Linked DNA regions of Saccharomyces cerevisiae S288C. The protein of the gene in region 1 purifies or fractionates together with the protein of each later gene. This does not show direct contact. Each region holds a gene or a part of one and is shown in the gene's direction. Other genes may lie near its edges.

Region 1 (7,064 bases):
TTGCATGCTCAGGATGACCCAATTGTCGGAGGTGATCTTCCTATAGACCAAATAAAATCCAATCCATACACTTTGCTTCTAGAAACTTCGACGGGGGGGCATGTTGGATGGTTCAAAGACAGATCCGGCAGAAGGTGGTACGCAGAACCCTTATGCAGATTTTTGAAAATATTTCACGACGAAATTACTGTAAAGGGCTTAAAACCTGACTTGGAAAATGTTCAACTCCCAGATCCTAATTGCGAACCCATAGCCACAACCTTTCGCGCGAATTAGTTTGTAAATAAGTCAACTTTTTAGATGTGTAACCTGATAATTTTTTTTTTTGATGTTCGACATCATTATTTCTGAATGAAAACGTGAAAAGCTTCGCCAAACTTAAAATGGAAAATTTCGAATGGAACAAAATATAATCGATGCGATGAATTAAAACCTTGGAAGAAGAGGGTTAATTGTTAAAATTACATATATAATTGGCAGACAAGAATAAAAAATGCATGAAGTAGTAACGATATCGGTTTCGCAGAGAGCAAACCATTTGACTACTCAATTCTTCAATATACAAGAGGGCTATTTACAATTGTCTAAAGAACAACAAGTCAATGACTCCAAAATTTTTCTGAATTCGGTTGTAGATAAAGTTTCAAAAACAATTTCATATGCACCACGTGCCTTACTTTGGGATGCCCGTACAGGTAATGGTTCACTAGGAACATATCAATATTCAGAAAGCCAAGACTATCATTTCGGCAATGAAGACAAATTCAAGGAGCAAACAGTTATAAAGACTCATCCAAGAATACCTAAATCCGAATATCAGAGTTCTCTAGATGCAGGAGCACCGCTGCCTTGTTTGAACAGAGAAAATACGATGTATTGGTCTGACTATTCTAAACTTATCTATGGTCCTTCAAGTTTCAATATTTTGAGAAATTGGTACCATGACACTGAAAATCCAAACCAACCTGACTTTCAAAACTTGGGGGAGCGAAAGTTTGACAGGTATTCCATTGGTTATGACGAATTTACCGAAAATTACTTGCAAGAGTTTTTTGATGGAAATTTGCATAGAGAATTGGAAAAATGTGACACCCTGCAAGGCTTCAATCTTGTAAGTGATATGGAGAGTGGATGGGGCGGGTTTTCTAGTGCTCTACTGGTGGAATTAAGGAATGAATTACCTAAAAAGGCGGTCTTTTCATGGGGACACAATGAAGATGATCCATTCACAGATGACTTCCCTATGAAAAGACTTTCAAAGAAATGGCTCCCGATCATTTCGAACAAATTAAGAAGCACAATAAATATGATGCAAGAATCCGATCTTTACTTCCCATTGTATGCTGCTCCTGGACTAACTAATTGGGAAACTGCTGGAAAGAGCTGTAGGATATTTGATTCTATAAATGCGACAATTTCCCAAAGCAATCTTGAACAAAGAAAGACAATGGATTATCTAACAACTGCCATTACCTTAGGATATTCGTCGCGAAATATGGTCACTGGCATGGTTATCGGTGACACCGATTACTCATTCTGTTCTCGAGTACTTCCTTTCAAGAATAGCCACAAACCAAATTCTACTCACATATTTTCAAAAAGTTTCATTGATAGAGGAAATCAAACGCATAAACATCATTCCGAACCTGATTCACGGAGTAAGATGATTGAAATGTATACACACAGGTATTTTCCATCTGATACGATACCGACAGAATTTTCCAATGATCGTGAATTTGTTTTGGAATTAGAATCATCTGAAAAAAATCGAGATATATTCAAACATTGGAATGAGTTTGTGGTAAGGTACTTCAAAAATGATAGTGACAGAGAAGAATTGAAAAATGAACTTTCCGATTACGCCTCAGCGTACGAATCTGGGTGGTATGAAGACGAAGATTCTGGTGATGACGATATGTGATAAGCAGTTTGCAGCTACGTATTTCCTTTCTCCAGTTGAGGCAAACAGGACTTCTTCCATCTTTTTCGAAGTTTTTACTTCGCCATTTGATCTATATCTACGTAAATTACATTAATTAGAAAGTCATGCTATATCACTCTTGCCCTTGAAAGCATCCACAGCTGTCCGTCAAAAACTTAATTTCTCAAGTGGAGGAGAAAATTTTACCTCTTGAACTTAAAGAATGTAAATCTTCATTTGCGTCTTTAAAGTCATCGTTTTGATTTTCACCAGTTGCTGTTTTTTGCAAAAAGGATTTTCTATTTCCAATGCTACTGCGATCAGAAAGACTAGATATTGGTGCAAGTCGCAGAGAATTTGATCTAGCAACGTCGATTTTATCCAAGCCAACAATATTCTCCTCATCAGGATCTTTGATTTTATTCGCGTCATCTGAAAAAGTTTTCAATTCATTTAATAAAAATGTGATATTAGTGACACGAGATTTCACTGATTGAGAACCCCGAAAAGAGCCATCTCTTTTCATATTATTTGGAATATTCTTTTCATTCATAGTTTTTTTCAAATCGCTAACTTTTGGTGCGGTGGCTCTCATTGTTTTCCATGATCTTGCGTCCTCAGCAACAAACCTATAGATACTACCTTTTGCATTAGCATCAGAAATTACAGTATCGTTAGCTTCTTCTATATTGTCATCTATGCTGTTGTCGAATTTATTTTGCTTGGCCGCAAAATCGTTGTTATCATACACTGCTTTCCCATTTGAAAAAATAGCATTAGGGACATTCTTGTACTCCAGAGGTGTAGTACGAACTTGAGAGTCCGACAGTAAATCAGAAGTAGAAATTTGATTATCACGAGACAATAAAATCTGCGCCCCCTTCTTGCTGTATTTATTTGATCCAGTATCAGAATAGTATGACAATAAATCTTCCTTGGTAAACAAAGTTCTAGTTTGCATTTTGTACTCAGTTTGTGACTTGTAGTCATTGAGTTTTAAAAAGTTAGCTGCTTGTAAATGGTACGAATAATAGGTATACTCAGGCTCAGAAACGTTCTCTAGAAAATAATTCAAACCGGATAATAGTGCCATTTTTCCATACTTGTCAAAGATCTCTTCCATCATTTCTTTTTGCACACCATGTGAATCCAGTTCACGTAATAATGAGTACAGTTTTGAAAAGAGAATGCTGCTTGGAACCTCAGTTTCAACAATGTTAAATAAACATATAATGTGGTTTTTCATGTAATGCGCCAAGTCGATGAATAATTCCAAACTGATACTTGGCTGCGTAATATGTTCAACGAGGAAATCAATATCTTCCACAACTGCATTCTTTTCAACATCCTTGACGGTGTCACTTTTCAATTTCAATAGTAGTTCATATAACATATCTGAGGTCTGTTCAGCGTAATAAGTTTTATGGTTAAGGTCTGTCATGGTGATACAAGACTGTGCCACAACTTCTTTATTAGTTGCATTTTTCAACTGGAAATTTAAAAGCTTTCTCATTATATCAAGAACACTCAACCCCACTATACTGACATCTGAAACAAGTAATGACGACATCAATTTCAAGGAAACAATTGGATTTACATTTTTATCCTTGTCGCTTAGTTGTCTGACCAAAAGAAGTATAACAATATATCGTAACTGAACAGGTATACCATTGCATACAAACTCTAGCAGTTCCTTATTAGGTGTACTTTGCAGACAGCGCAACAGAGTACGAATAGACAAATTCAATTTGTCTGTCTCAGTTGTGTTAAAATAGGATTGCAATGCTTTTACTGAAAGGTCATGATTATCTTCGGCGGCCTTATCTAACCCAATTGTACGAGTTTGTGTTCGACTTAGCCTTTTTCCTAAATTGCTCTCCAGAGCTGCTTCCAGCGACAAAGTTTTAAATTTCGGATTTCTCTCTTGGAACTTTGAAATAGTATAGGCAACAGACTTGGAAACAAAGTGGTTTAGTTGTGGGTTGCTTGAAACACTATTTGTGTTTGATATATCAATACAGCATTTCAGAAGCATGTCATCATTATGAATTCTTTCAGTAACTATTTTAAAAAAAAGATCAACAAAGTTCTGGTATAACTGGACGAATTCCATGTCACCGTTACACAAGACGTCGTCCAAGTTCTGGCATATACTACTAAATGCCAGTTCTATTAATTCAACAACAGATACATCATTGTTAAAATTGTTGTTGGAAAGAACTTTGTTCATAATGTACAAAAAATCTTTAACAAATACATTCAAATTCTCCTTACAATGCAACACAATTTTGTTCATTAAATCCAATGTAACGGCTATGTTCCCTATGCGCCGATGGTTCAAGTCGGAAGTGGAACGCTTAATCAGGTAAGTGCTAACTTTCTCCAATTTACTACGCCTCGAGTTAACGTAATATAGCAAATATGAAGTTTCCGAAGATTTAGGCTTCTTATCTGTGGTCCTTCCCGTAGGATAACATTGATTGACCAGTTTCTGATGTTTTGGTGTGAACATCATCCGCATAGACAACTGCATCGCAAACCACTTTCAGAACAATTGAAAATGAACGAAAGATGAATAATAGAGCGAATGATCTGGGTTCAATATACAGTCTGCCACTGAATTAATACTACTCCAATAGCGGGGTTGCTCACAATACTTTCAATTTATCCTGGCTGCCTGGCTTTTTCAACAAAACCATTACCTTCCTAGTAGTTCGAACAAAATTTTCTTCCTCTTCCTTTGGCCGGGGTTGAAGTTTAATGAAAAATTAATGCTATGAACTATTATGACAAAAAAGCATATGCGACTCAGGAAGATAGTAAAGAAAAAAAGCAAAACATTTCTAAGAGGACTATACTAGCATTTCAAGATGCCCCCCGTACCAATATACGTGAAAGGCGGTGTATGGACCAATGTGGAGGATCAGATTCTTAAAGCGGCTGTACAAAAATACGGAACTCATCAGTGGAGCAAAGTAGCATCCCTTTTGCAGAAAAAGACTGCCAGGCAGAGTGAATTAAGGTGGAATGAATATTTAAATCCAAAGTTGAATTTTACAGAGTTCTCGAAGGAGGAGGATGCCCAACTTCTAGATCTTGCAAGAGAGCTGCCTAATCAGTGGAGGACCATAGCTGATATGATGGCCAGGCCTGCACAGGTCTGCGTCGAAAGATATAATAGGCTATTAGAAAGTGAAGACAGTGGAGGGGCTGCGTTAAGTACAGGAGTTACTGACTTGAAAGCCGGGGATATTAATCCTAACGCTGAAACTCAAATGGCTAGACCAGATAATGGTGATTTGGAAGATGAGGAAAAGGAAATGCTTGCTGAAGCTAGGGCTCGTCTGTTAAATACCCAAGGTAAGAAGGCTACAAGAAAGATTAGAGAGCGGATGCTCGAAGAATCAAAACGCATTGCTGAACTACAAAAGAGGCGTGAGCTAAAGCAAGCAGGAATTAATGTTGCCATTAAGAAACCGAAAAAAAAATACGGCACCGACATTGATTACAATGAAGATATAGTATATGAACAAGCTCCCATGCCAGGTATATATGACACGTCCACTGAAGACCGCCAGATAAAAAAGAAGTTTGAGCAGTTTGAGAGAAAAGTCAACAGAAAAGGTTTGGATGGTAATAAGGATAAGCCAAGTAAAAAAAATAAGGACAAAAAAAGAAAACACGATGAGAACGAACACGTTGAGAAAGCAGCACTGGGTGAATCTACTACATTGACGGATGAGTATAAAAAACCAAAACTTATACTATCTGCACCAGGAACGAAACAGGGAAAAGTCACCTATAAAAAAAAGCTAGAAAGCAAAAGACAAAAACTAATCGAGGCACAAGCAACTGGCACTGTGTTGACACCAAAAGAACTACTACCCCACGACTCCGGCCAAGAAGATAATGAACGCAGTAATATAAAGAGTGGTAAACAGCTAAAATCACGCATACGAAAATTTTTAGTGCAAATGTTCGCATCTTTGCCTAGTCCCAAGAACGATTTCGAAATTGTATTAAGTGAAGACGAGAAAGAAGAAGATGCAGAGATAGCGGAATACGAGAAAGAATTTGAAAATGAAAGAGCGATGAATGAAGAGGACAACTTCATAGAACCACCATCTCAAAATGATGCGCCACGCGTCTCATTAGTAGCCGTTCCATTAGCTTACTCAACGCTACCCATACCAGAATTCAAAAACAATCCGCAGTCCGCGATTGACAATAAGTACAACTTGCTAGTCGCGAACGCCATAAACAAAGAACCTCACATGGTACCAGAAGATACGGTAGATTTTCTCAAAGAGGTGGAGTCGCGTATGCAGCATATAACCCAAGGGCGCACTTCCATGAAAATACAATTCAAAACAGCAATGCCCCCAACTGAGGTTCTTCTGGAATCGATCCAATCAAAAGTGGAGTCTATTGAACAGTTACAGCGTAAACTACAACATGTGCAACCACTGGAACAACAGAATAACGAGATGTGCAGTACCCTCTGCCATCACAGCCTGCCCGCTTTGATTGAAGGGCAACGCAAGTACTACGCTGATTACTACGCCTACCGACAAGAGATACGATCGCTTGAGGGTCGTAGAAAGCGTCTTCAAGCCATGCTAAATTCTTCTTCTTCCATATAGCATTAGTATAGCATTAATATAACTTTTATGAACTAGGACATAGAGGACTTGTGACAACGCATTACCCGGAGTTAGAACGTTTTCTTGCCAAGTTGGCCACATCGGCAAACCAGCGATGGTAATAAGATGTAGTACTGACAAAACATGGTGGATAGGCCAGAAGAGCGTGCATTGGCTGGCGAAAAGATCGAGGACAATGATTCCAAAATTATATATACATTTGATACTATCTTTATTGTTGTTGCCGCTAATTTTGGCGCAGGATTATTATGCAATACTAGAGATAGACAAAGATGCCACTGAGAAGGAAATCAAATCAGCGTACAGACAATTGTCTAAGAAGTACCATCCGGATAAAAATGCTGGGAGCGAAGAAGCCCATCAAAAATTCATTGAAGTCGGCGAGGCATACGATGTATTGAGCGATCCTGAAAAGAAAAAGATTTATGACCAGTTTGGTGCAGATGCTGTAAAGAATGGCGGTGGCGGTGGCGGTCCAG
Region 2 (8,196 bases), 150 kb from region 1:
TATGTATGTATATATTTACAAGAAGAAAATTATGCATGGTCTATTGAATTTTATATTTGGAAAAAGAGTCCCTTTTTATAGCTTTTCCAACTCTAACATTCCTTCTAAACAGTCAATTTTTGAAATTTTACAATTCTTCACGATATCTCCAATCATCGGATAATGCATAGAACTTGGATGCAATTTTAATGTTCCTCTAGCGAACGATAAGTCTGGAAAAACACATCCAGTAAATCCGTTCTGCGGTACTGATGTTACCATTACATCGAAAGTCCTTTCTGGCTCTAGTTTGGTTAGCTTTTTTAAATAATTCAGTGTCCAGTACGTCGACGAATTACGGCTAGCCCTTTTTAAAATATCCGCTCGAGATTGAATTGGCCAGATCAAACTGTCGATTTGTGTTTGATTAAAACATAGAGGCTTTTTCTGCAAATGACGGTGAATTTGTAGATGATTTATCAAGTCTGGAAAACGACGAAGAGGGGATGTTACTGTCAAATATTGTTTAGCTCCAATCATTTCATGTCTAAAAGGTCGACCTGTATAAAAACTCGAGTTCAACAATGAAGAAAGCTTAACGATATCTTTTAGCTTGGGAAAAATTCCTTTTTTTGTACTTGTTATCATAGAATCATACTGTTGTTGTGCTACTTCGCCCAGTGGTAACTGTTTATAACATCTGAACACACCACCGATTTTGTTCTCCGCAAAATATCTACCCGTTAAAGTATTCGCCAAGATCATCATTTCTGAAACCAAAATGGTAGACAGCGTCTCCTCTTGATCCGAAAATGTTACCTCAGTCAGTTCTCCTTCTGAATCGGCGTTTAGCATCACTAGGCCCTTATTAAAGCCCTCCCCGAAAATAACAGCATTACTGTTTTTTATACGTTGTTCTCTCAATAATTTGGAAATCATGGACAAACTTTCCAAATCCTTTTTGACAGGTGATGCTTCGCTATTGGGTGTACCGAGTATCCTGTCAACATCTTCATAAGTGGCCTTTGGGAAGTTGGACACAATGCCTTTCCGGATTTTAAAACTGTCATACATAATTTCAATTGATTTTCCACTGCATTTAGAAGTGATTTTAACATCAACAGAGAAGGATATAGTTTTCGTCCTTTGTCCTTGTTTCCCCAAATCTGATAAGTGACAAATAGATTGAGGTAACATAGGAACAACCGTATCTGGTAAATATGTGGTAAATGATCTTTTCAAGGCAACATTTAGGATATCTGTACTTATACCCTCAATATCAACATTAGTGCTTTCCGGAAACATAGAAGTTGGATCCGCAATATGAATATATAAAGTGTACAGTCCATCTCTACCATAGTTTTTCACCGACACGCCGTCATCAATCTCATGCGCAGTTTCAGAGTCTATACAAAAAACCCTAAGATCGCCAAAATCGTACCTATCGTCATCAGTGCCGGATTTTTTCCATTGCAATTCTTCTATATTAGTTAAGTCGTAGAGTTTTTGTTGCCATTTCACTAACTTCGAGGAAGCAGGTAATGCTAAATCCATGTTAAGTAACAATGGATTGGGTATTGAGTTGGGTGTTATCTCATTGATTAAATCTTGACATATATCTCTTGTGATGTCACAATCCTTATAGCGTTCTATCTTTCTGAATATTTTTGAGATCAAAGCTACTATAATTCCGTTATTGTGAAAATTCCCAGCAGCAAAATCTTTCAATAATTGGATCACAGAAGGATATAAAGCTGATATATCGCGATATTTCCTTTCATTCACCAATTTTACAAACTTATTGACCTCTCTATAACTGTTGGCTTCTAGCTTCTCTATCACCTGCGCATAATATAAATGTTGTGATTTTAAGGGAATAATCGTTACTGATATAGGCGACAGCAACGCTGTATTCAGATGGATTTCCCCCCAAAGGTTCGATTCCTGTTGTTGCATAATCGCCCAGTACGTGGAAACAAAGGTAGGTGAATTTATTGGTATATCGTTTACAGTGTGATAGTTATTAACTAAACTAGTTAAGTAATTTATTCCATTTTTATCGTCCAAGGCTTTATTTAAATCCAATTTCTGAACTAATCCGACTAGGGTAAAAAAAGGAATCTGCCATGGACCCATATAATTTTGTAATGATCTGTGGAGTAACTGTAATTTTTTGGTAGTAATGGGCAAATCTTTCCAGGCCAACTTTGAAATTTGGGCTGGATACCTACTTGTTATTAGCTGCCTTGCTACAATAGGCAAAATATTCGTTTGGTTAGAAAAGTTCTTAACGGTTCCAATTGGCAAATGTTTGTGATGGCTCTCAGGCTGTATAAGTGAATGGATTCCAGCAGGTAATTTGTGAGGAATCCTCAATAACACCCGGTTTTTGGTCGCAAAGCACATAGTTCCATCAATAGTAACAAAAGTGTATCGAGGATCCATAGTGCTACTTGGAAGACTTACACACATCGCCAATTCATTGGGTCTCATTTTTAAAAGAACAAAGTCACCAACATTTAAGGGACTTTCCATTAGCTGAACAGGTTGAAATTCCATTGGGTTTGGAGCTTTCAGTTTTGTTATTAATTGAAAATCTGAATTTATTAACTTGTAAAGCGGAATTTTTGGTTTTGTTAAAGACCTCCAGGAGTTTACGTACCAATCTTCGGAAGGTTTAACATACCTATCTTTATAACGTTGGTTAAATTCCTGTTTAATTTGAGGCAGTTGTTTTAATTCAATATCAGGCTCTAATCCTTTTGTTCGTTGCAGAAAGTCTTTGTTTATTGATTCTATATCTTTCTCCGGTCCAACCGAACGGTCTACAACTGTCTCTGTAGCTTGATCATTATCTAGCTCTCGTGTGTGATCTAGTTCTACTTTTGCTTGCTGCTTACTCTTACTTCGCTGTCGTTTGCCTCTGGTAGTTACTCTGAAGCAAGGTGTGTAGGAATGAAAGCTCCTTGCAATTAGAAGAACATGTACTTTCCGCCTAACTACCATCACCTGTCTTTATTTATTCCGCTGACAGATATGCACAACCAATTATCGTCTCTTGAAAGCTTTTTAGACGTGATTGCTGTTATTTGGCACGTTGTTAGTATTTAAGCTTATTCGGGTTTGCATTGATATTTGCCCGAGCAGAAATCTCCTTCTCGATGAGTTAGAACTGAAACATCTCTTCAATTACTTATACATAATAAACATAGAAAGCCAGGACCTGTCATCATGAGTCATCCGATTCAATTTGTAAACGCTAATAATAGCGATAAGAGCCACCAATTAGGCGGTCAATATTCTATTCCTCAGGATTTGAGGGAAAACCTGCAGAAAGAAGCTGCACGTATTGGTGAGAACGAAAAAGATGTGCTACAGGAAAAAATGGAAACTAGGACAGTGCAAAATCGAGAGGATTCATACCACAAAAGAAGGTTTGATATGAAGTTTGAGCCGGATTCCGATACACAAACTGTTACGTCTTCAGAAAATACCCAAGACGCTGTCGTGCCAAGGAAAAGAAAATCTCGTTGGGATGTAAAAGGGTACGAGCCACCTGATGAATCTTCAACAGCGGTCAAAGAAAACTCTGATAGTGCTTTGGTTAATGTAGAAGGAATCCATGATTTGATGTTTTTTAAACCTTCTGACCATAAATATTTCGCCGACGTTATATCCAAAAAACCCATAGATGAGTTAAATAAGGATGAAAAGAAAGAAAGAACCCTGTCGATGTTACTTCTGAAAATAAAAAATGGCAATACAGCGAGTAGGAGGACTTCTATGCGGATTTTAACCGATAAAGCTGTTACATTTGGTCCAGAAATGATATTTAACCGCTTATTGCCCATATTACTAGACAGAAGTTTGGAAGACCAGGAAAGACATCTAATGATCAAGACCATAGATCGCGTCCTTTACCAGCTAGGAGATTTAACAAAACCTTACGTTCACAAAATACTTGTAGTAGCTGCCCCATTGCTAATAGATGAAGATCCAATGGTTCGTTCAACAGGCCAGGAGATAATCACCAATCTGTCTACAGTCGCTGGCCTAAAAACCATTCTAACAGTAATGAGACCTGATATTGAGAATGAGGATGAGTATGTTAGAAATGTAACTTCAAGAGCGGCGGCTGTGGTGGCAAAAGCCCTTGGTGTTAATCAATTGCTTCCTTTCATCAATGCAGCATGCCACTCACGGAAGTCTTGGAAAGCAAGGCATACTGGCATAAAAATTGTGCAGCAAATAGGTATACTTTTGGGAATAGGTGTCTTGAATCATCTTACTGGGCTGATGAGTTGTATCAAAGACTGCCTAATGGATGATCACGTTCCGGTGCGAATTGTTACAGCACATACTTTATCAACACTAGCAGAAAATTCTTATCCATATGGTATCGAAGTTTTCAACGTTGTACTGGAGCCATTATGGAAGGGTATAAGAAGTCATCGTGGTAAAGTGCTATCTTCTTTTTTAAAAGCTGTTGGATCTATGATCCCATTGATGGACCCAGAGTATGCCGGTTATTATACCACAGAAGCAATGAGAATAATTAGACGTGAATTCGACTCTCCCGATGATGAAATGAAAAAGACCATTCTTTTAGTATTACAAAAATGTAGCGCTGTAGAATCCATAACGCCAAAATTTCTGAGAGAAGAAATCGCGCCAGAATTCTTTCAAAAATTTTGGGTCAGACGAGTGGCATTGGATAGACCATTAAACAAAGTTGTTACATATACTACTGTTACATTAGCAAAGAAATTAGGTTGTTCTTATACCATTGATAAATTATTAACACCATTGAGAGATGAAGCTGAGCCGTTCAGAACAATGGCTGTCCATGCTGTTACTAGAACAGTAAACTTATTAGGGACAGCAGATTTAGATGAGAGATTAGAAACGAGGCTTATTGATGCGCTCTTGATAGCATTTCAAGAACAAACAAATAGTGATTCTATAATCTTTAAAGGGTTTGGGGCAGTGACGGTGTCACTTGACATCCGTATGAAACCGTTTTTAGCACCCATTGTGAGTACGATTTTAAATCATTTAAAGCATAAAACTCCCTTGGTTCGTCAACATGCAGCAGATCTATGTGCCATACTAATACCAGTCATCAAGAACTGTCACGAATTCGAAATGTTGAATAAATTGAACATTATATTGTATGAATCCTTAGGCGAAGTATATCCAGAGGTATTAGGTTCTATAATCAACGCTATGTACTGTATTACTAGCGTAATGGATTTGGATAAACTACAACCTCCTATTAATCAAATTTTACCAACCTTAACTCCAATTTTAAGAAACAAGCATAGAAAAGTCGAAGTAAACACTATCAAATTTGTTGGACTTATTGGTAAATTAGCACCTACCTATGCACCTCCTAAAGAATGGATGAGAATATGTTTTGAACTATTAGAACTTTTGAAAAGTACAAATAAAGAAATAAGAAGATCAGCAAATGCCACGTTTGGATTCATTGCTGAAGCAATTGGACCTCACGATGTTCTTGTTGCGTTATTGAACAATTTAAAGGTTCAAGAACGTCAGTTACGTGTATGCACGGCTGTTGCTATCGGTATCGTTGCTAAAGTGTGTGGTCCTTACAACGTGCTGCCAGTAATCATGAATGAATACACAACACCAGAGACTAATGTTCAAAACGGTGTTCTCAAGGCCATGTCATTCATGTTTGAGTACATTGGTAACATGTCTAAGGATTACATATACTTCATAACACCATTATTAGAAGATGCACTCACCGATAGGGATTTAGTTCATCGTCAGACAGCGTCGAACGTAATAACCCACTTAGCTTTAAACTGTTCAGGTACAGGTCACGAAGATGCCTTCATTCATTTAATGAATCTTCTAATACCCAATATTTTTGAAACTTCACCACATGCTATTATGCGTATTTTAGAAGGTTTGGAGGCACTGAGTCAAGCTCTTGGCCCTGGACTATTCATGAACTACATATGGGCAGGATTGTTCCATCCAGCGAAGAATGTAAGGAAAGCATTTTGGAGGGTGTATAATAACATGTACGTAATGTACCAGGACGCCATGGTACCTTTTTACCCCGTTACACCAGACAACAATGAAGAATATATAGAAGAACTGGATTTAGTTCTGTGAATATATATAGAGCATATAAATAACCACAACTTGTAAGAATATTTTACTTGACACACCTATATCATCACGTCACGATGCCTTCATAGATTATGATGAAATATAAACAGAACCTGCTATTGGAAAAAAAAGGGCAGGAAAAAATTTTGTGAAAGTGAGTAAAAGAAAGATGAAGAGCGAGACATGGATAATAAGAAATAGATGTCACTAATGGACAATTGGAAGACTGATATGGAAAGTTACGATGAAGGAGGCCTAGTTGCTAATCCGAACTTCGAGGTTCTGGCCACTTTCAGGTACGACCCTGGTTTTGCACGCCAGTCAGCGTCAAAGAAAGAGATCTTTGAAACTCCAGACCCTCGATTAGGTTTGAGAGACGAAGATATTAGGCAGCAGATAATTAATGAGGATTACTCAAGTTATTTACGAGTAAGGGAGGTTAATTCCGGCGGTGACCTTCTCGAAAATATTCAGCATCCTGATGCTTGGAAGCATGATTGCAAGACCATTGTGTGCCAGCGTGTAGAAGATATGCTACAAGTCATTTATGAACGATTTTTTTTATTAGATGAACAATACCAAAGAATAAGAATAGCATTATCATACTTTAAAATTGACTTCAGCACGTCTCTGAATGATTTATTGAAGTTATTGGTTGAAAACTTGATTAATTGTAAAGAAGGAAATTCAGAGTATCACGAAAAAATTCAAAAAATGATCAACGAAAGGCAATGCTATAAAATGCGGGTACTTGTCTCTAAGACAGGAGATATACGAATTGAGGCAATTCCAATGCCTATGGAGCCTATCCTAAAATTAACAACCGATTATGACAGTGTTTCCACATACTTCATCAAAACGATGCTCAATGGATTTTTAATTGATAGCACAATAAATTGGGATGTTGTTGTTTCATCTGAACCATTGAACGCATCAGCTTTCACCAGTTTTAAAACCACTTCAAGAGATCATTACGCTAGGGCGAGAGTTCGCATGCAAACTGCTATAAATAACTTAAGAGGTTCAGAACCTACTTCTTCTGTCTCGCAATGCGAAATTTTATTTTCCAACAAATCTGGCCTGCTGATGGAAGGTTCAATAACAAACGTGGCTGTAATTCAAAAAGATCCTAACGGTTCTAAAAAGTATGTGACACCAAGATTAGCAACTGGATGTTTGTGCGGAACAATGCGTCATTATTTATTGCGGCTCGGCCTTATTGAAGAGGGAGATATAGATATAGGAAGCCTTACCGTTGGCAACGAAGTTTTGCTTTTCAATGGCGTCATGGGATGCATAAAGGGAACAGTGAAGACAAAATATTGAGCAGACGACAGATTTTCATATCAATGAAGTTTTTTTACAATAGTTTACAAATCATGATTTTACATACTCAAATATGTGCAGGTTGATACAGACAACGTACGTAGAAGACAACAAACAGAAAACAGCGGTTTATACATTTATTTAAATGACATACAGTGGAGAAGCAGAGAAAGGAAAAGGAGTGCGATGAGAACAGAAGATGAATACTTCGGTTGTGTTGGTTCCACGTACACATTAATAGCATTAAAAATTGATCCTCTGAAATTACTTATGAGTTTTACGTCTTTTGGTATTTGGCGTTTTTCCACTGGCACCAATTGTAATGTTAACCTTTGGAGGGACTGGAAAACCGTAAGACTTTGCTACTTTGGCTAAATCCAGCTTATCGATTTGATAGACAGTTTTCAAAGAGTGGGAAGCGTACGCTTGTAAATAAGATCTATAACCATCCTTGGCTGTTTGATGTAGATAATAGTTGGATTTAATTAATTTTTCTAATTGTGATTGAACGTTTGCAATTTTGTTTTCCGGGAATTCGTACTCATTTAATGGGACCTTGGAAGCCTTTAGATATCTTAAAAACCCTAATTCATTAGGTGTTAAAAACATTAAAGATTTACCCTTACCTTTAGTGCCTCTTGCGGTTCTTCCGACTCTATGAATATAATCTCTTGGATCATCAGGAGGGTCGAATTGAATGATCCAGTCCACAGCAGGGATATCTAGCCCTCTAGCTGCGACATCTGT
Region 3 (6,050 bases), on another chromosome or scaffold:
ATCTGGAGATGTTAGAATGGGGAAAGGCACTTTATACCAAACCCATGTATGTTCGCGCAATGAAGGAAGCATCAAAGCTTTACTTTCAAATGCATGATGATCGCTTAAAAAGAAAGTCCGATTCTTTAGATGAAAATTCAGATGAAATCCAAAATAATGGCCAAAATAGTAGCAGCCAAAAGAAAAAAGCTAAGAAGGAAGCAGCCGCTATGAACAAACGGAAAGAAACTGAAGCCAAGAGTGTTGCTGCTTATCCGAGTGATCAAGATAACGATGTATTCGGCGAAAAGTTGATTGAAACCTCCACTCCAATGGAGGACTTCGCTACCGAATTTTATAATAACTACTCCATGCAAGTCAGAGAAGACGAAAGGGATTATATTTTGGACTTTGAATTTAACTACAGAATTGGAAAGTTAGCTTTGTGCTTTGCTTCTCTAAACAAATTCGCTAAGAGATTTGGCACCACGAGCGGTTTATTTGGTAGTATGGCCATTGTTTTGTTACATGCCACAAGAAACGACACCCCCTTTGATCCAATTTTGAAGAAAGTAGTCACGAAGAGCCTTGAAAAAGAGTATTCTGAAAATTTCCCATTAAACGAAATATCTAACAATAGCTTCGATTGGCTGAATTTCTACCAAGAAAAATTCGGTAAGAATGATATAAATGGCCTGCTATTTCTGTATCGCTATCGCGATGATGTTCCGATCGGAAGCTCTAATTTGAAAGAAATGATTATTAGCAGTCTTTCTCCCTTGGAGCCTCACTCCCAGAACGAAATTCTACAGTATTACTTGTAGCCTGCAACTCCTCAATGTGTCAATTAACTCTTACTTAATTTATGTATATATTTTTTATGTATATGCTTATATGCATGCGCATATGCTCATAAAAGATACATTGTTATAGGTCATTTCTTTTCCAAGCTACATCTAGCACTCCTTCCAACCATGGTCCAGGACAGCCAGGACCTTTTCTTGCCAAAATTCTTGCTTTCCCATCTCAGAGAAAAAACGAGGAATTTTTCTTTGTCCTCTTTGGCCGCCAGTTGCGGTAAAATATTTTTTTTCTAGGTCGCATAGTTTGAAAGACTTGTCTTTTTCACCACCCAAGAAAAATATATTTAGTGAAGAGATGTAAAGCCCATTCTCACGTATTTCAAGAAATTAGGCATCGCTTCGGTAGACACATTCAAACCATTTTTCCCTCATCGGCACATTAAAGCTGGATGACCATCCCACATATGAAATACGCCGTATCAAAGACTAGCGAAAATAAGGTTTCAAATACAGTAAGCCCCACACAAGATAAAGACGCGATCAGAAAACAACCCGATGACATTATAAATAATGATGAACCTTCACATAAGAAGATAAAAGTAGCACAGCCGGATTCCTTGAGGGAAACCAACACAACAGATCCACTTGGGCACACTAAAGCTGCGCTCGGAGAAGTGGCATCGATGGAGCTCAAACCAACTAATGACATGGATCCCTTGGCAGTGTCAGCAGCTTCAGTAGTGTCAATGTCCAATGACGTTTTGAAACCAGAGACGCCCAAGGGGCCAATCATAATCAGTAAAAACCCATCAAATGGTATTTTCTATGGTCCCTCCTTCACTAAACGAGAGTCTCTCAATGCTCGAATGTTTCTGAAATACTATGGTGCACACAAATTTTTAGACACTTACCTCCCCGAGGATTTGAACTCGTTATACATTTACTATCTTATCAAGTTGCTAGGCTTTGAAGTTAAAGATCAAGCGCTTATCGGCACCATCAACAGTATTGTCCATATCAACTCGCAAGAGCGTGTTCAAGATTTGGGAAGTGCAATATCTGTCACAAATGTTGAAGACCCATTGGCAAAAAAGCAAACAGTTCGTCTAATCAAAGATTTGCAAAGAGCAATTAACAAAGTTCTATGTACAAGATTAAGATTATCCAATTTTTTCACTATTGATCATTTTATTCAAAAATTACATACCGCTAGAAAAATTTTGGTCCTGACTGGTGCAGGTGTTTCAACTTCATTAGGGATCCCGGACTTCAGATCTTCTGAGGGGTTCTATTCAAAGATCAAACATTTGGGGCTCGATGATCCCCAAGACGTTTTCAATTACAATATATTTATGCACGACCCCTCTGTTTTCTATAATATTGCCAATATGGTTTTACCTCCAGAAAAAATTTATTCTCCATTGCATAGTTTCATTAAGATGCTACAAATGAAAGGGAAATTATTGAGAAATTATACTCAAAACATTGATAATTTGGAATCTTATGCGGGAATAAGCACAGATAAACTGGTGCAGTGCCATGGCTCTTTTGCTACTGCCACCTGCGTTACCTGCCATTGGAACCTACCCGGTGAGAGGATATTTAATAAAATTAGAAACCTCGAACTTCCACTATGCCCGTACTGTTACAAAAAAAGAAGAGAATATTTCCCAGAGGGATATAATAATAAAGTAGGTGTTGCTGCATCACAGGGTTCAATGTCGGAAAGGCCTCCATATATCCTTAACTCATATGGCGTTCTCAAACCAGATATCACATTCTTTGGCGAAGCACTGCCAAATAAATTTCATAAGAGCATTCGCGAAGATATCTTAGAATGTGATTTGTTGATTTGCATTGGGACAAGTTTAAAAGTAGCGCCAGTGTCTGAAATCGTAAACATGGTTCCTTCCCACGTTCCCCAAGTCCTGATTAATCGTGATCCCGTCAAGCACGCAGAATTTGATTTATCTCTTTTGGGGTACTGTGATGACATTGCAGCTATGGTAGCCCAAAAATGTGGCTGGACGATTCCGCATAAGAAATGGAACGATTTGAAGAACAAGAACTTTAAATGCCAAGAGAAGGATAAGGGCGTGTATGTCGTTACATCAGATGAACATCCCAAAACCCTCTAAGTAGAAGGCAATTTAATAATTTAAAAGTGCCAAATTAATATCAATTTACATAGTATGGCAAACAATTTTGTTTTCCTTTCAATTATTGTAGTCAAATATTATTTACATTCTGCTATTTTCATTGTACCGGGTGAAATATTACATGTACCGCCCATCTCACTAAAAAAATGAAAAAAAAAAATCTGCTAAAGACGCAAGGCTCTCACAAATAGCTTAATGTAAGAAGGGCAGGTGGAACAGCAAATTCAAATCATTTAACGCATCCATACATTCAAAATGAACTATTTAGAAGGCGTTGGGTCAAAGAAAGGAGGTGGTGGTATAGCCTCAGAATCTCAGTTTAACTTACAACGAAGGAAAGAAGTCGAATCATTACTTAGTAAAGGCGAAAATGTCCCGTACACTTTCCAAGATGAAAAGGACGATCAAGTAAGGTCCAATCCGTACATTTACAAGAATCATTCCGGTAAACTGGTTTGTAAACTATGTAATACAATGCACATGTCGTGGTCCAGCGTTGAAAGGCATTTGGGTGGTAAAAAACATGGTTTAAATGTGTTAAGGCGTGGTATCAGTATAGAGAAAAGTTCTCTAGGGAGAGAAGGCCAAACAACTCATGATTTCCGACAACAACAAAAGATAATTGAAGCTAAGCAATCTTTAAAGAATAACGGTACGATCCCTGTTTGTAAAATAGCTACCGTGAAAAACCCGAAGAACGGTTCAGTAGGTTTGGCTATCCAGGTAAATTATAGCAGTGAAGTCAAAGAAAATAGTGTCGATAGCGATGATAAGGCTAAAGTCCCTCCTCTCATTAGGATTGTATCTGGTTTAGAGCTATCAGATACCAAACAGAAGGGAAAAAAATTTCTCGTTATTGCGTATGAACCCTTTGAAAATATTGCTATTGAGCTACCTCCAAACGAAATATTATTCAGCGAAAACAATGACATGGACAATAATAACGATGGAGTAGATGAATTAAATAAAAAGTGTACATTTTGGGATGCTATATCAAAACTTTATTACGTTCAATTTTTCTTTAAACAAGCCGAACAAGAACAAGCCGATGTATGACAGTATTATTTTTGGGTAACGTTAATAATCGGCATACAAAACTCTAACCAAATTGGATTATATAATAGCTATTAAGGAAACAATTGTCTTTACAAGAGTTTTTTTTACGAAATTTTCCCATCCAATGTGCACTTATTCTCAGGGAGTATAATAACCATATTCCTCTAAAATTATATTACTGCTCAACTTCCATGCGCTTTTGCGATCTAGAGTATTTATGTTACCATTTATCAACAGTATCTAGTACTCGCAGCATACATACGTATTTATTCAGAAAAATGTAATTAGGCGAACAAGGCCGAAAACTGTGATGTGACAACGCTTGCTATACTTGAGAGATAATTGTAAAGGAAGAAGAGGGAACTAAGGAAGAGTACAACACGCCATACAATGATCAGAACATCATCTATATTAAAAAACTGTAACTATAGATACATACATTGCATCCATAGATGCTTGCTGAATGAAGCCAATTTGAAAGATAGAAAAACTCACAACGTAGAAAGAGTTTCAAATGAAAAGACATTTGAACAAGCTCTCGAAGAGGAACGTAAGGTATTTGGAGAACTATTCGAAGCTGGAGCAAGGGTTGAAAACATGAGGCACACTAATGCTAGCAAAATAATTGACAAGTATTACAATGGGCTACAGGACAACTCCGAGGGAACTAGTGTAAAAAAAGAAAAAATTGTTTTTAACCACAGTCAAAGAGCTCAAAGGAAGCTTCCAAATAAGGACCATGAATTCCTGAAGGAAACAGCAGGCAATGACTATGTCTACGAACGGGCAGAACCTTCTGCTATTAGCACTAAAACGATAAGTGAGCAGACAAGAACTTTGCTGGAAAAGATATTTGACGAAGATAATAGCATTAATAAAAGCAACAGAGAATTGCTGAATCTTAATCTGCGCAAGGGCTCGGGAATGGAAGCTTTGAGGCAGCCAGTTGCACATTCCAACGTCAAATTTAGCGAGGAAGTGATGCAAGAAATTGGTAATAAGATTCGGTACCAAACCACACTGGATCAGGTTTTAGAACCTCACATTGACTACTTGAGGGAAGCTGTTAAAAGTGATTACGATCTTTTAAGATACCTAAAGCAATCACTAGACATTTACAAGAAAAGGAACAAAGACCTAGAGTTAAAGATGAATGCAGAATCTTCAAACATTTTCGAAGACATTAGAAGTGCGTGTATAAATAAACCGGCAGAACTACCGAAACCGCTTGCAATGACTTTACCATATATTATAGTCAAATCGCTTAGATTAGGTGACTTTGATTTCCCGGCAGACAGAAAGTACACATTGATCTCCTATGTTTATAATGAATGTAAAAACAACATGGACGCTTCACTGTACCTAACAATTTGTAATGTTGATTTCTACAATTTGCTGGTTCAGCTATTGTGGGAAAACTTCCAGGAGATTCGCTACTTGAGACGTGTGGTTACCGAGATGAGCGTTAATGGTGTCATCGGAAATATTGAAACCGTGGATATATTGGATAAGATTGTCAAAGAAATGAGAAGTTTAAATGAGGATGTCTTTCTTGAAGCAGGAGAACAGCTCAGTGCAGATGAGGAAGTTTCGTCCAGCGCAAATAAAATAGTGAATGTAGGTGTTTTATGGAATAAAGACACGAATAATGACTTACTAATTGTTGAAAATTATCTCAAAAGCCTCAAAAAAAATTTAACTAGAGACAGGTAGAAAATTATTCAAACCTTGTAAATAGTGTTATATATATGTGTTAGACTTAAAAGCGCTAATAAACGTTCCTGCTCGCATTTAACTTCTGTTCCAATTTTCCTATTTTTTAGTTAGCTTGTTCGGCAGATTTCAAATTCATTGAGTCCGAGGAAACAAAAGGATGGGAAGAGCTCAAAATTTGGAGATGGGTTTCATATACAACACGTTGGTTAGCAAGAACCTAAGGATCCGTCTATAGAAAGAACCTCGAAAAATCTTCGAAAGATTTTGTTGACTGAGAGTGGAAAAAACTGATATTACTTTCTCGGTATAGAGGGCAACATTTGCAAAAAGTAATAAA
Region 4 (10,859 bases), on another chromosome or scaffold:
GATCCTAAGGAGTTTGTGAAAAGCTTAGAAATTCTTTCGAATGCTTCTGCCTCACTAGCGAACAATGCCAAGGGTCCTAAATCTACGTCTGATGAGGAAAGCAGCGGGTCTTCCGATGATGAAGAGGACGAAACTGAAGAAGAAATAAATGCTAGGCTGGTGAAGCTAGTACAAGCTGCACCTGTGATGCTATTCATGAAAGGAAGCCCATCAGAACCTAAATGCGGATTTTCTAGACAGTTAGTTGGTATCCTCAGAGAACACCAAATAAGGTTCGGATTTTTTGATATATTAAGAGACGAAAACGTTAGACAAAGCTTGAAGAAGTTTTCTGATTGGCCTACTTTTCCTCAGTTATATATCAATGGGGAGTTCCAGGGAGGTTTGGATATTATCAAGGAATCTATAGAAGAAGATCCTGAATATTTCCAACATGCTCTACAGTAAGCCTTATTTTGTAATGAAAACTATATTCATACATATATACATATTAATATATATGTATATATTTTTATTTATTAATTTATTCTAGAATGTAATGTGCATAGATTTGTGTGGAATATTTCCTGGGGTTTTCTCGTCAAATTTAAAGAGTAAAAAGTTAGAGTATTTCCAGATCTGAATCTGAAAGGGACTCACTGATAACTGGCGCTTTACGCGGCTGTCTCTGGGACAGAATTTCACATAGAGACTCGTCTTCGTCGCTTCTACCAAATGTTTCATTGCCAATATTATTGCTGTTATCGCTATCGCTATCGACAATAGGGTCATCATTAAAAGAAGTTTCTTCGTCTTCAAGATCGTCGTTAGCCATCATCACATTTCTTTCATATTGGTCAATCAACATGCGAAGCCTTCTGTCCCTTTCCTTTTTTTGATCCTCTAAATGGTCACAATTATTGCTATCATTATCCATCAATGGTGCTAGTCCATCCTCCACAGATAGTGCTTCGATAGGCCCGCCTATCCGATCCACAACGTCGATTCCGTTCTCAACTTTCATTATATCACTAAATTTGTCCATGGTTTGTTTGGGCCCCGAGGAGCCACTCGGAAGATTCTTCAAATAATAGAGAATGTATTTTTTTTTATAACTCTGACACTTTCTAATTAGAGGTGCGTAGTAGCCAAATTCTAGAGTTATATTCCTGAAAGAATGTACCGCGTTGTACTTATAAAGACTAACATTTAACCAATCTTCAGCTTGAACTTTAAATGAATTTTGTAATTTTCTTACTTTCCATTCTCTTGGAAAATAAACCGTTCCATGATTATGGCCTTGTTTACTGATGTTACGAAAGGTTTTGCGCACTTCTCGTAAACCATACTCATTGGATTCTGGTAGACCATTCATATTATCACACTCGCTCAGGCAATCCACAATTGATGATGCATCAGAAATGCTGAATTCGCCTTTATTAAATGTGTTATAGTTCTCTAATATTCCTAATTTGAAATCCTCTTTCGATAACAAATTGTTCGAATTTTCGAAGAGGTTATTAATCATTTCGTTATCGTTATTCGTGCTATGGGAACCATGTATCACCTTCCCAATGGCATGAAAGTATGATATGGTGGATTCTCGGGTTGAAATCGGCAAACTTCCACTTGATGTCGCCCAAAATTGAAGGGTCGTAATGGCCGACCTAATATCACCAGTCTCTTGCGCAATATAATCTATGACTTCCTGTCTTTTATTCCATTTATTTTTCTCCTTCAACATTTTCATATTCTGTACACAAATAAATTTCAAGTGCTTTTTTAATAAAGTGCTGTTAATTGGATTAAACTTAATTCTTTTCAACCTTGGATGCATCAATATTTCTTTGTTCATTATGGTTTCTGCACTAAATGTATAATCAATACCAAATTTGCGATAATTATTATCGTTCTCTGGAATTTCACATTCAGTTATACATATAACAAGGGGAGGTAATAGAGGCTCCGAACTATATAGCCACTGTAATATAAGTTGTTGAAATCGACGTCTGGTATCTATATGGAAGACGTTGGGAAGGTCCTCGATAAGTATTAATGACAGGTTGGACATCACAAGATACCGTGCGCCTTTTAAGAACTCACTAAAGCTTTCCATCTGAGGAAGATCGTTGACTATACAATCACCTCTAAACTCGGTCACTTTATGCTCGTTCGGGGTGCTTCGAAAGGACGTTCCGTTGCTGTTTTGTCTGTATTTAGGAACTAAGATTTTTGAGAGTTCTTTTATGACCGTACTTTTAGAGCATCCACTGGGGCCAGACAGTAGTAGGATCCTATGCTTGGCGTTAGGTAAAAACATGGCATCTAAAGCTTCTTGTACATCTTTAAGTTTTCTTTTATGTATGGCCACTTGCTCCAAACAATTGGGCTTGAACTTTTCGTACCACTGTTCACCGCCGTCGTCGTTGATACTTGGGAGGATACTAGACGTATCTTGCTTGGAAAGAAAGTCATTTTCAGTGCTTCTCGCCTTACGAACTGGCGAAGTCGGTCTAGATGAGCTCCATTTTGTTATTTGCGAGCCCAATGAACTGAGACTATATTGTAATAAGGGCCGTTTGTTCAAATTCGTACTATCCATATCATTCAGACAGGAACAAACTTGATAATTAGTGGTGTTGAATCAAGTACTATTAACGCATTGTGATGATCTCTCAGATATCAATGCGTGTTTGCTTCTTTGACGATCTAATATTGAATATTGTCGCTCTTTACGAGAATATTAAAAATTTATGCTACTAAAGCTATGTCTACTATAAAGGAATAATACACTAATAGAGATAATCTTGAGTAAAATAAGGTGAAGGTAAATATAAGTAATTGCTTTGGAAGATTTACCGTGAGCCTTCGTTATTAAAAATGACTGAGCATGAAACGAAGGATAAGGCCAAAAAAATTAGAGAAATTTATCGTTATGATGAGATGTCCAATAAGGTGTTGAAAGTTGATAAACGCTTTATGAATACCAGCCAAAATCCTCAAAGGGATGCGGAAATATCACAACCAAAATCCATGAGTGGTAGAATTAGTGCTAAGGATATGGGACAGGGCCTGTGCAATAACATTAATAAAGGACTAAAAGAAAATGATGTAGCCGTTGAAAAAACTGGAAAGAGCGCATCATTGAAAAAAATTCAGCAGCATAACACCATTTTGAATTCTTCCTCCGATTTCAGGTTACATTATTATCCAAAGGATCCCTCAAATGTCGAAACTTACGAGCAGATTTTGCAGTGGGTTACAGAAGTTTTAGGCAATGATATACCCCATGATCTTATTATTGGAACTGCTGATATATTCATCAGACAATTGAAAGAAAATGAGGAAAATGAGGATGGTAATATTGAAGAGCGAAAGGAAAAGATCCAGCATGAGCTAGGCATCAATATAGACTCCCTGAAGTTTAACGAATTAGTTAAACTTATGAAAAACATTACCGATTATGAAACACATCCTGACAATAGCAATAAACAAGCAGTAGCAATTCTTGCCGATGATGAAAAATCAGATGAAGAAGAAGTAACAGAAATGTCCAACAATGCTAATGTTCTTGGGGGAGAAATCAATGATAATGAAGATGATGATGAGGAATATGATTACAATGACGTTGAAGTCAATTCTAAAAAAAAAAACAAGAGGGCATTGCCAAACATTGAAAACGATATAATTAAACTCTCCGATAGTAAAACAAGTAATATCGAGAGCGTTCCGATATACTCAATCGATGAATTTTTTTTGCAGAGAAAACTTCGGTCAGAGCTTGGTTACAAGGATACCTCTGTAATACAAGACCTGTCAGAAAAAATTTTGAATGATATTGAAACACTTGAGCATAATCCAGTAGCGTTGGAGCAGAAGTTGGTTGATCTGCTTAAATTCGAGAATATATCACTGGCTGAATTTATTCTCAAGAATAGATCTACAATTTTTTGGGGCATACGACTGGCGAAGAGCACAGAGAATGAAATACCGAACTTAATAGAGAAAATGGTTGCAAAAGGTTTGAATGATCTTGTGGAACAGTATAAATTTAGAGAAACTACACACTCAAAGCGTGAACTCGATTCCGGTGACGACCAGCCACAGTCTTCGGAAGCAAAAAGAACAAAATTCAGTAATCCAGCAATACCGCCCGTCATAGATTTGGAAAAGATTAAATTCGACGAAAGTTCTAAATTAATGACCGTGACAAAAGTATCCCTACCGGAAGGATCATTCAAAAGGGTGAAACCACAATATGACGAAATACATATTCCAGCTCCTAGCAAACCTGTTATTGATTATGAGTTGAAAGAAATTACTTCTCTACCAGATTGGTGTCAGGAGGCGTTTCCTTCATCGGAAACAACGTCCTTAAACCCTATACAATCAAAGGTTTTTCACGCAGCATTTGAAGGTGATTCAAACATGCTAATATGTGCACCCACTGGTTCAGGTAAGACGAATATCGCGTTATTGACGGTATTGAAAGCCTTATCCCATCATTATAACCCGAAAACTAAGAAATTAAACCTTTCTGCATTTAAAATTGTTTATATAGCACCCTTGAAAGCCTTAGTACAGGAACAAGTCCGAGAATTTCAAAGGAGGTTGGCTTTTCTAGGTATAAAAGTCGCTGAATTGACTGGTGATTCTAGGCTTAGTAGAAAGCAAATTGACGAGACGCAGGTTTTGGTGTCTACGCCAGAGAAATGGGACATAACTACTAGAAATTCAAATAATTTGGCCATCGTAGAACTTGTTCGTTTGTTGATTATAGATGAAATACATTTGTTACATGATGACAGGGGACCAGTATTGGAAAGCATCGTGGCTAGGACATTTTGGGCTTCCAAATATGGCCAGGAATACCCCAGAATAATAGGCCTTTCTGCCACCTTACCAAATTATGAGGATGTCGGTAGGTTTTTAAGAGTTCCGAAGGAAGGATTGTTTTATTTTGACTCCTCATTTAGACCGTGTCCTCTATCTCAACAGTTTTGTGGCATTAAGGAACGGAACTCCTTGAAAAAGCTGAAGGCTATGAATGATGCTTGTTATGAAAAGGTATTGGAATCCATCAATGAAGGTAATCAAATAATCGTGTTTGTTCATTCTCGAAAAGAAACATCACGAACAGCAACATGGTTGAAAAATAAATTTGCTGAAGAGAACATTACTCATAAATTAACCAAAAATGATGCAGGATCGAAGCAGATTTTAAAGACAGAAGCAGCCAACGTACTCGATCCAAGTCTACGAAAGTTGATTGAAAGCGGTATAGGGACGCATCACGCAGGGCTGACCAGAAGTGACAGATCCTTATCTGAAGATTTATTTGCAGACGGGTTGTTGCAAGTATTGGTATGCACTGCGACGTTAGCATGGGGTGTTAATCTACCTGCTCATACAGTGATTATAAAAGGAACAGATGTCTATTCACCTGAAAAGGGGTCCTGGGAACAACTTTCTCCACAAGATGTACTTCAAATGTTAGGTAGAGCAGGCAGACCGAGATATGACACATTTGGCGAGGGTATTATAATAACAGACCAATCGAATGTTCAATATTATCTCTCGGTTTTAAATCAACAATTACCAATAGAATCGCAATTTGTTTCAAAATTAGTTGACAACTTAAATGCAGAAGTTGTCGCGGGTAACATTAAGTGCAGGAATGATGCTGTGAATTGGTTGGCGTATACTTACCTATATGTCAGAATGTTAGCTTCCCCTATGCTTTACAAAGTACCTGATATTTCAAGTGATGGGCAATTGAAAAAGTTTAGAGAAAGCTTAGTCCATTCGGCCCTATGCATTTTAAAAGAACAAGAGTTGGTGTTATATGATGCTGAAAATGATGTAATTGAGGCGACCGATCTAGGAAATATAGCGTCGTCATTTTACATAAATCATGCTTCCATGGATGTTTACAATAGAGAGTTAGATGAACATACAACTCAGATTGATCTTTTTAGAATATTCTCAATGTCGGAAGAGTTTAAGTACGTATCGGTGAGATATGAAGAGAAAAGAGAACTAAAACAACTTCTAGAGAAAGCACCCATTCCTATCAGAGAAGATATTGATGATCCTTTAGCAAAAGTGAATGTACTACTGCAGTCTTATTTTTCCCAGCTAAAGTTCGAAGGTTTTGCACTTAATTCTGATATAGTGTTTATTCACCAAAATGCTGGTAGGTTATTGCGTGCTATGTTTGAAATATGCTTGAAGAGAGGATGGGGACATCCCACACGGATGTTGTTAAATCTTTGCAAATCTGCCACAACTAAAATGTGGCCAACAAACTGTCCTTTAAGACAGTTTAAAACATGCCCTGTCGAAGTGATTAAAAGGCTGGAAGCCTCTACAGTACCGTGGGGAGATTATCTACAGCTAGAAACACCTGCCGAAGTTGGTCGTGCAATCAGATCTGAAAAATATGGAAAACAGGTTTACGATTTATTGAAAAGATTTCCCAAAATGTCCGTAACATGCAACGCTCAGCCAATTACCCGTAGCGTTATGAGGTTCAACATTGAAATAATAGCCGACTGGATATGGGATATGAATGTACACGGTTCCCTTGAACCTTTTTTGCTCATGCTAGAAGACACTGATGGTGATTCAATACTTTATTATGACGTACTATTCATCACTCCAGATATAGTTGGTCATGAATTTACCTTATCCTTTACTTATGAGTTAAAGCAGCACAATCAAAATAACTTACCACCTAATTTCTTCCTTACTTTGATATCAGAAAATTGGTGGCACAGTGAATTCGAGATTCCAGTTTCCTTCAATGGATTTAAACTTCCGAAAAAATTTCCTCCTCCTACTCCCCTTCTGGAGAATATTAGTATTTCAACATCAGAGCTTGGCAATGATGATTTTTCCGAAGTATTTGAATTTAAAACTTTCAACAAGATTCAGAGCCAGGTCTTCGAGTCTCTCTACAATTCGAATGACTCGGTCTTTGTAGGTTCAGGAAAGGGCACAGGTAAAACAGCTATGGCTGAATTAGCACTGTTAAATCATTGGAGACAGAATAAAGGAAGAGCGGTTTATATCAATCCGTCTGGGGAAAAAATTGATTTTTTGCTATCTGATTGGAATAAAAGGTTCTCTCATCTTGCTGGTGGTAAGATAATAAATAAGCTAGGAAATGATCCTTCACTAAATTTAAAATTATTAGCAAAAAGCCATGTTCTCTTGGCTACCCCCGTGCAATTTGAGCTTTTGTCACGTCGTTGGAGACAAAGGAAGAACATCCAAAGTTTAGAATTAATGATATATGATGACGCTCATGAGATTAGCCAAGGTGTTTACGGTGCTGTGTATGAAACGCTAATTTCTAGAATGATATTTATAGCAACCCAACTTGAAAAGAAAATTCGATTTGTTTGCCTTTCGAACTGTTTGGCAAATGCTCGTGATTTTGGTGAATGGGCTGGTATGACGAAGTCAAACATCTACAACTTTTCTCCAAGCGAAAGAATTGAGCCTCTTGAAATTAATATTCAGTCATTTAAAGATGTTGAGCACATATCATTCAATTTTTCGATGCTTCAAATGGCATTTGAAGCATCTGCTGCTGCAGCGGGAAATCGTAATTCCAGTTCGGTGTTCTTACCATCTAGAAAGGATTGTATGGAAGTTGCGTCTGCATTTATGAAGTTTTCAAAAGCAATTGAATGGGATATGTTGAACGTTGAAGAAGAGCAAATTGTACCATACATTGAAAAGTTAACAGATGGTCATCTAAGAGCACCTTTAAAACACGGTGTTGGTATTTTGTATAAGGGGATGGCATCAAATGATGAAAGAATTGTGAAAAGGTTATACGAATATGGTGCGGTATCGGTTTTACTCATTTCTAAGGATTGTTCTGCATTCGCTTGTAAAACTGATGAAGTGATTATTTTAGGAACCAACCTTTATGATGGTGCAGAGCATAAATATATGCCATATACCATAAATGAACTTCTAGAAATGGTGGGACTAGCTAGTGGTAACGATTCAATGGCAGGCAAGGTTTTAATTTTGACAAGTCACAACATGAAGGCCTACTACAAAAAATTCTTAATTGAGCCTTTGCCTACTGAGAGTTACCTACAGTATATTATTCATGATACTCTGAACAACGAGATAGCAAATTCTATTATACAAAGCAAACAAGATTGTGTTGACTGGTTTACATATTCGTATTTCTATCGTCGTATCCATGTGAATCCAAGCTATTATGGCGTAAGGGATACGTCTCCACATGGAATTTCAGTTTTTTTGAGTAATTTAGTTGAAACTTGTTTGAATGACTTAGTTGAATCATCCTTCATTGAAATTGACGATACAGAAGCTGAAGTAACCGCAGAAGTTAATGGAGGAGATGATGAAGCAACTGAAATCATTTCTACCTTGAGCAACGGGCTAATTGCTTCTCACTATGGCGTATCATTTTTTACTATTCAGTCATTCGTTTCTTCTTTATCGAATACGTCAACGCTCAAAAACATGCTGTATGTTCTTTCAACAGCAGTAGAATTCGAAAGTGTTCCACTCAGAAAAGGAGACAGAGCATTACTTGTCAAATTAAGTAAAAGACTACCATTGAGATTCCCTGAACACACCTCTTCTGGTTCGGTGAGCTTTAAAGTTTTCTTATTGTTACAAGCATATTTTTCACGTCTTGAATTACCTGTCGACTTTCAAAATGATTTAAAAGACATTCTAGAAAAGGTTGTTCCACTAATTAACGTAGTGGTTGATATCCTTTCAGCAAACGGGTATTTGAATGCTACTACCGCCATGGATTTGGCGCAGATGTTGATTCAGGGTGTATGGGACGTTGATAATCCGTTGAGACAGATTCCACACTTCAACAACAAAATTTTGGAAAAATGTAAAGAAATTAACGTCGAGACGGTCTATGATATAATGGCCCTTGAGGATGAAGAGAGGGATGAAATTTTAACGCTTACTGATTCACAGCTTGCGCAGGTCGCCGCGTTTGTTAACAATTACCCCAACGTTGAACTTACTTATTCGTTGAATAATTCTGATTCGTTAATTTCAGGTGTAAAACAGAAAATTACCATTCAATTGACAAGAGATGTTGAACCTGAGAACTTACAAGTAACATCTGAAAAGTATCCGTTTGATAAGCTAGAAAGTTGGTGGTTGGTTTTAGGTGAAGTATCTAAAAAAGAGCTTTATGCGATCAAGAAAGTTACTTTAAATAAAGAGACTCAGCAATATGAATTGGAATTTGACACTCCGACATCTGGTAAACATAACTTAACAATTTGGTGTGTCTGTGATTCATATCTTGACGCAGATAAAGAGTTGTCCTTTGAAATAAATGTGAAATAAAATCATTGTTTAGTCCTGGATAATCGAATGGATTTCAATATATAACATTCTCTTGCGGCTATTTAATCTAATTGTGATATATACAGTTTATAGCAAAAGCGTATCATTGCATCACTGCATTTCTATATCTTCATCTTCATCTTCATCCTGTTCTCCTTCTTTGTTTTCGTTTTCAATAAATCCACCTTGATCTTTTCTGCTATTCTGGTGCTTTATTAAATCTTCATAACTCCAAACAGATACACCCTCTTGGTCTTTAGGGTCTGTGGGTTGTGCCATTGTTCTCAAGAATTGTTTGGTATTGGATATGGCCATGTCAGTCGAAAGGTTCAAATCGGCGTCAGACAAACCTTGAGCAATCCATTTTGGTAACTGGCTTCTTTTTCTTGAAAACCTACGGTCTGCTAGTACCATTACACCATAGTCGTCCTTCCCTCTCAGTACTCTCCCCAGACATTGAGCTGCATGTCTCATCGCATCGAAAGATAAGAAGTCGTTTTCTCTGATGCGATAGTTCTCCCTCATGAATTCTAGGCGAGCTTTCAAAATACGCGATTCTGTGTATTGAAACGGGATACCTATCATCAGCACAGTTCTGCCATATTGATGATCAAAATCGATACCTTCAGATACCTTTCCTCTAGCAACAGAAAGCAAAATTGCCCCACGCCCATTTGAGCAAGCCTTTCTATAGGTTTCTAAGGCTAAAGAAGTTTCTTGAGCATCAGGAGTCTCAACTAAAATTAATTTATGTTTCCAAACTTCGTCAAGAATACCCATTGTTTGCCACATTGAAACAATACTTTCCATATATAGATATGAGGGGAAAAAAACAACCATTCCATCAGGTGTGATCTTGGCAAACTCTACTAGCATAGAACCGTAATTACGAACAATACTAGGATCGTTTCTGATTTCAAATCTTGAAGAAATTGCAACTTGATCAGAACCCTTGGTAATAATCATTGGTAGAAATGATTTTTTGGCTAAGGTCATGGCATATGATTTTTGTAAAACAGTTTTAAAGTTTAACATTCTTGGATACATGTCTAATGGTGATATGGTCCCTGAAGTGATAATAACGGAAGAAAATCTCTCAAAGACTGGTTTGATGGCAATCGATGCATCTAAGCAAGTAAATCTCATAATCGGATTCGGAACTGCAGCATTTTCGATTTCATACGGTTCAATAATTAGTAAAAACCCTTCCTCATATGTTGATATAAGAGTAGCAAAAGTTGCTATGTCTTTCAATGCAGTAAAATCTTCTACCTCTGTAACTTCTAAAGTTCTTACAAGTAATGATAGCCTTTCTGAGCAAAACCGAAGAGGTTTCCTTTCTATGAAAGTTAACTGTTTTAAATGCTGTAGAAATGATTTTGGCGTTTCTGAAATAACGTGAAGAACTTTCATTCTGGTCTTCAGATATTCTATCAATCTTTTCAAAAATGAAACAAAATGCTCGGCTCTTCGTATATTTCCCGGGATTGCTTCTGTTAGAAGATCTT

What was found.
Region 2: the proteins of CEF1 (region 1) and HSH155 purify together in Saccharomyces cerevisiae (affinity purification with mass spectrometry, with the first as the bait; 4 studies listed by BioGRID). This does not show direct contact.
Region 3: the proteins of CEF1 (region 1) and PRP11 purify together in Saccharomyces cerevisiae (affinity purification with mass spectrometry; 2 studies listed by BioGRID). This does not show direct contact.
Region 4: the proteins of CEF1 (region 1) and BRR2 purify together in Saccharomyces cerevisiae (affinity purification with mass spectrometry; 4 studies listed by BioGRID). This does not show direct contact.

The regions. Positions count from the first base shown.
Region 1 is NC_001145.3:688,590-695,653, forward strand, and holds CEF1 (Cef1p), read left to right. Parts: upstream 1-4,791; coding exon 4,792-6,564; downstream 6,565-7,064. Other genes in the region: MGL2 (putative carboxylic ester hydrolase), read left to right, coding at 1-276; DML1 (Dml1p), read left to right, coding at 494-1,921; EFR3 (Efr3p), read right to left, coding at 2,106-4,454; SCJ1 (Scj1p), read left to right, coding at 6,761-7,064. UniProt on the Saccharomyces cerevisiae protein: Involved in pre-mRNA splicing and cell cycle control.
Region 2 is NC_001145.3:842,361-850,556, forward strand, and holds HSH155 (U2 snRNP complex subunit HSH155), read left to right. Parts: upstream 1-3,210; coding exon 3,211-6,126; downstream 6,127-8,196. Other genes in the region: DSS1 (exoribonuclease II), read right to left, coding at 76-2,985; aminodeoxychorismate lyase ABZ2, read left to right, coding at 6,325-7,449; ATP-dependent RNA helicase HAS1, read right to left, coding at 7,714-8,196. UniProt on the Saccharomyces cerevisiae protein: Contacts pre-mRNA on both sides of the branch site early in spliceosome assembly.
Region 3 is NC_001136.10:373,627-379,676, reverse strand, and holds PRP11 (spliceosome assembly protein PRP11), read left to right. Parts: upstream 1-3,196; coding exon 3,197-3,997; downstream 3,998-6,050. Other genes in the region: peptide alpha-N-acetyltransferase complex A subunit NAT1, read left to right, coding at 1-803; NAD-dependent histone deacetylase SIR2, read left to right, coding at 1,232-2,920; MTF2 (Mtf2p), read left to right, coding at 4,388-5,710. UniProt on the Saccharomyces cerevisiae protein: mRNA splicing factors, PRP9, PRP11, and PRP21, are necessary for addition of the U2 snRNP to the pre-mRNA in an early step of spliceosome assembly.
Region 4 is NC_001137.3:528,022-538,880, reverse strand, and holds BRR2 (ATP-dependent RNA helicase BRR2), read left to right. Parts: upstream 1-2,859; coding exon 2,860-9,351; downstream 9,352-10,859. Other genes in the region: monothiol glutaredoxin GRX4, read left to right, coding at 1-447; RAD24 (Rad24p), read right to left, coding at 602-2,581; TFIIH/NER complex ATP-dependent 5'-3' DNA helicase subunit RAD3, read right to left, coding at 9,463-10,859.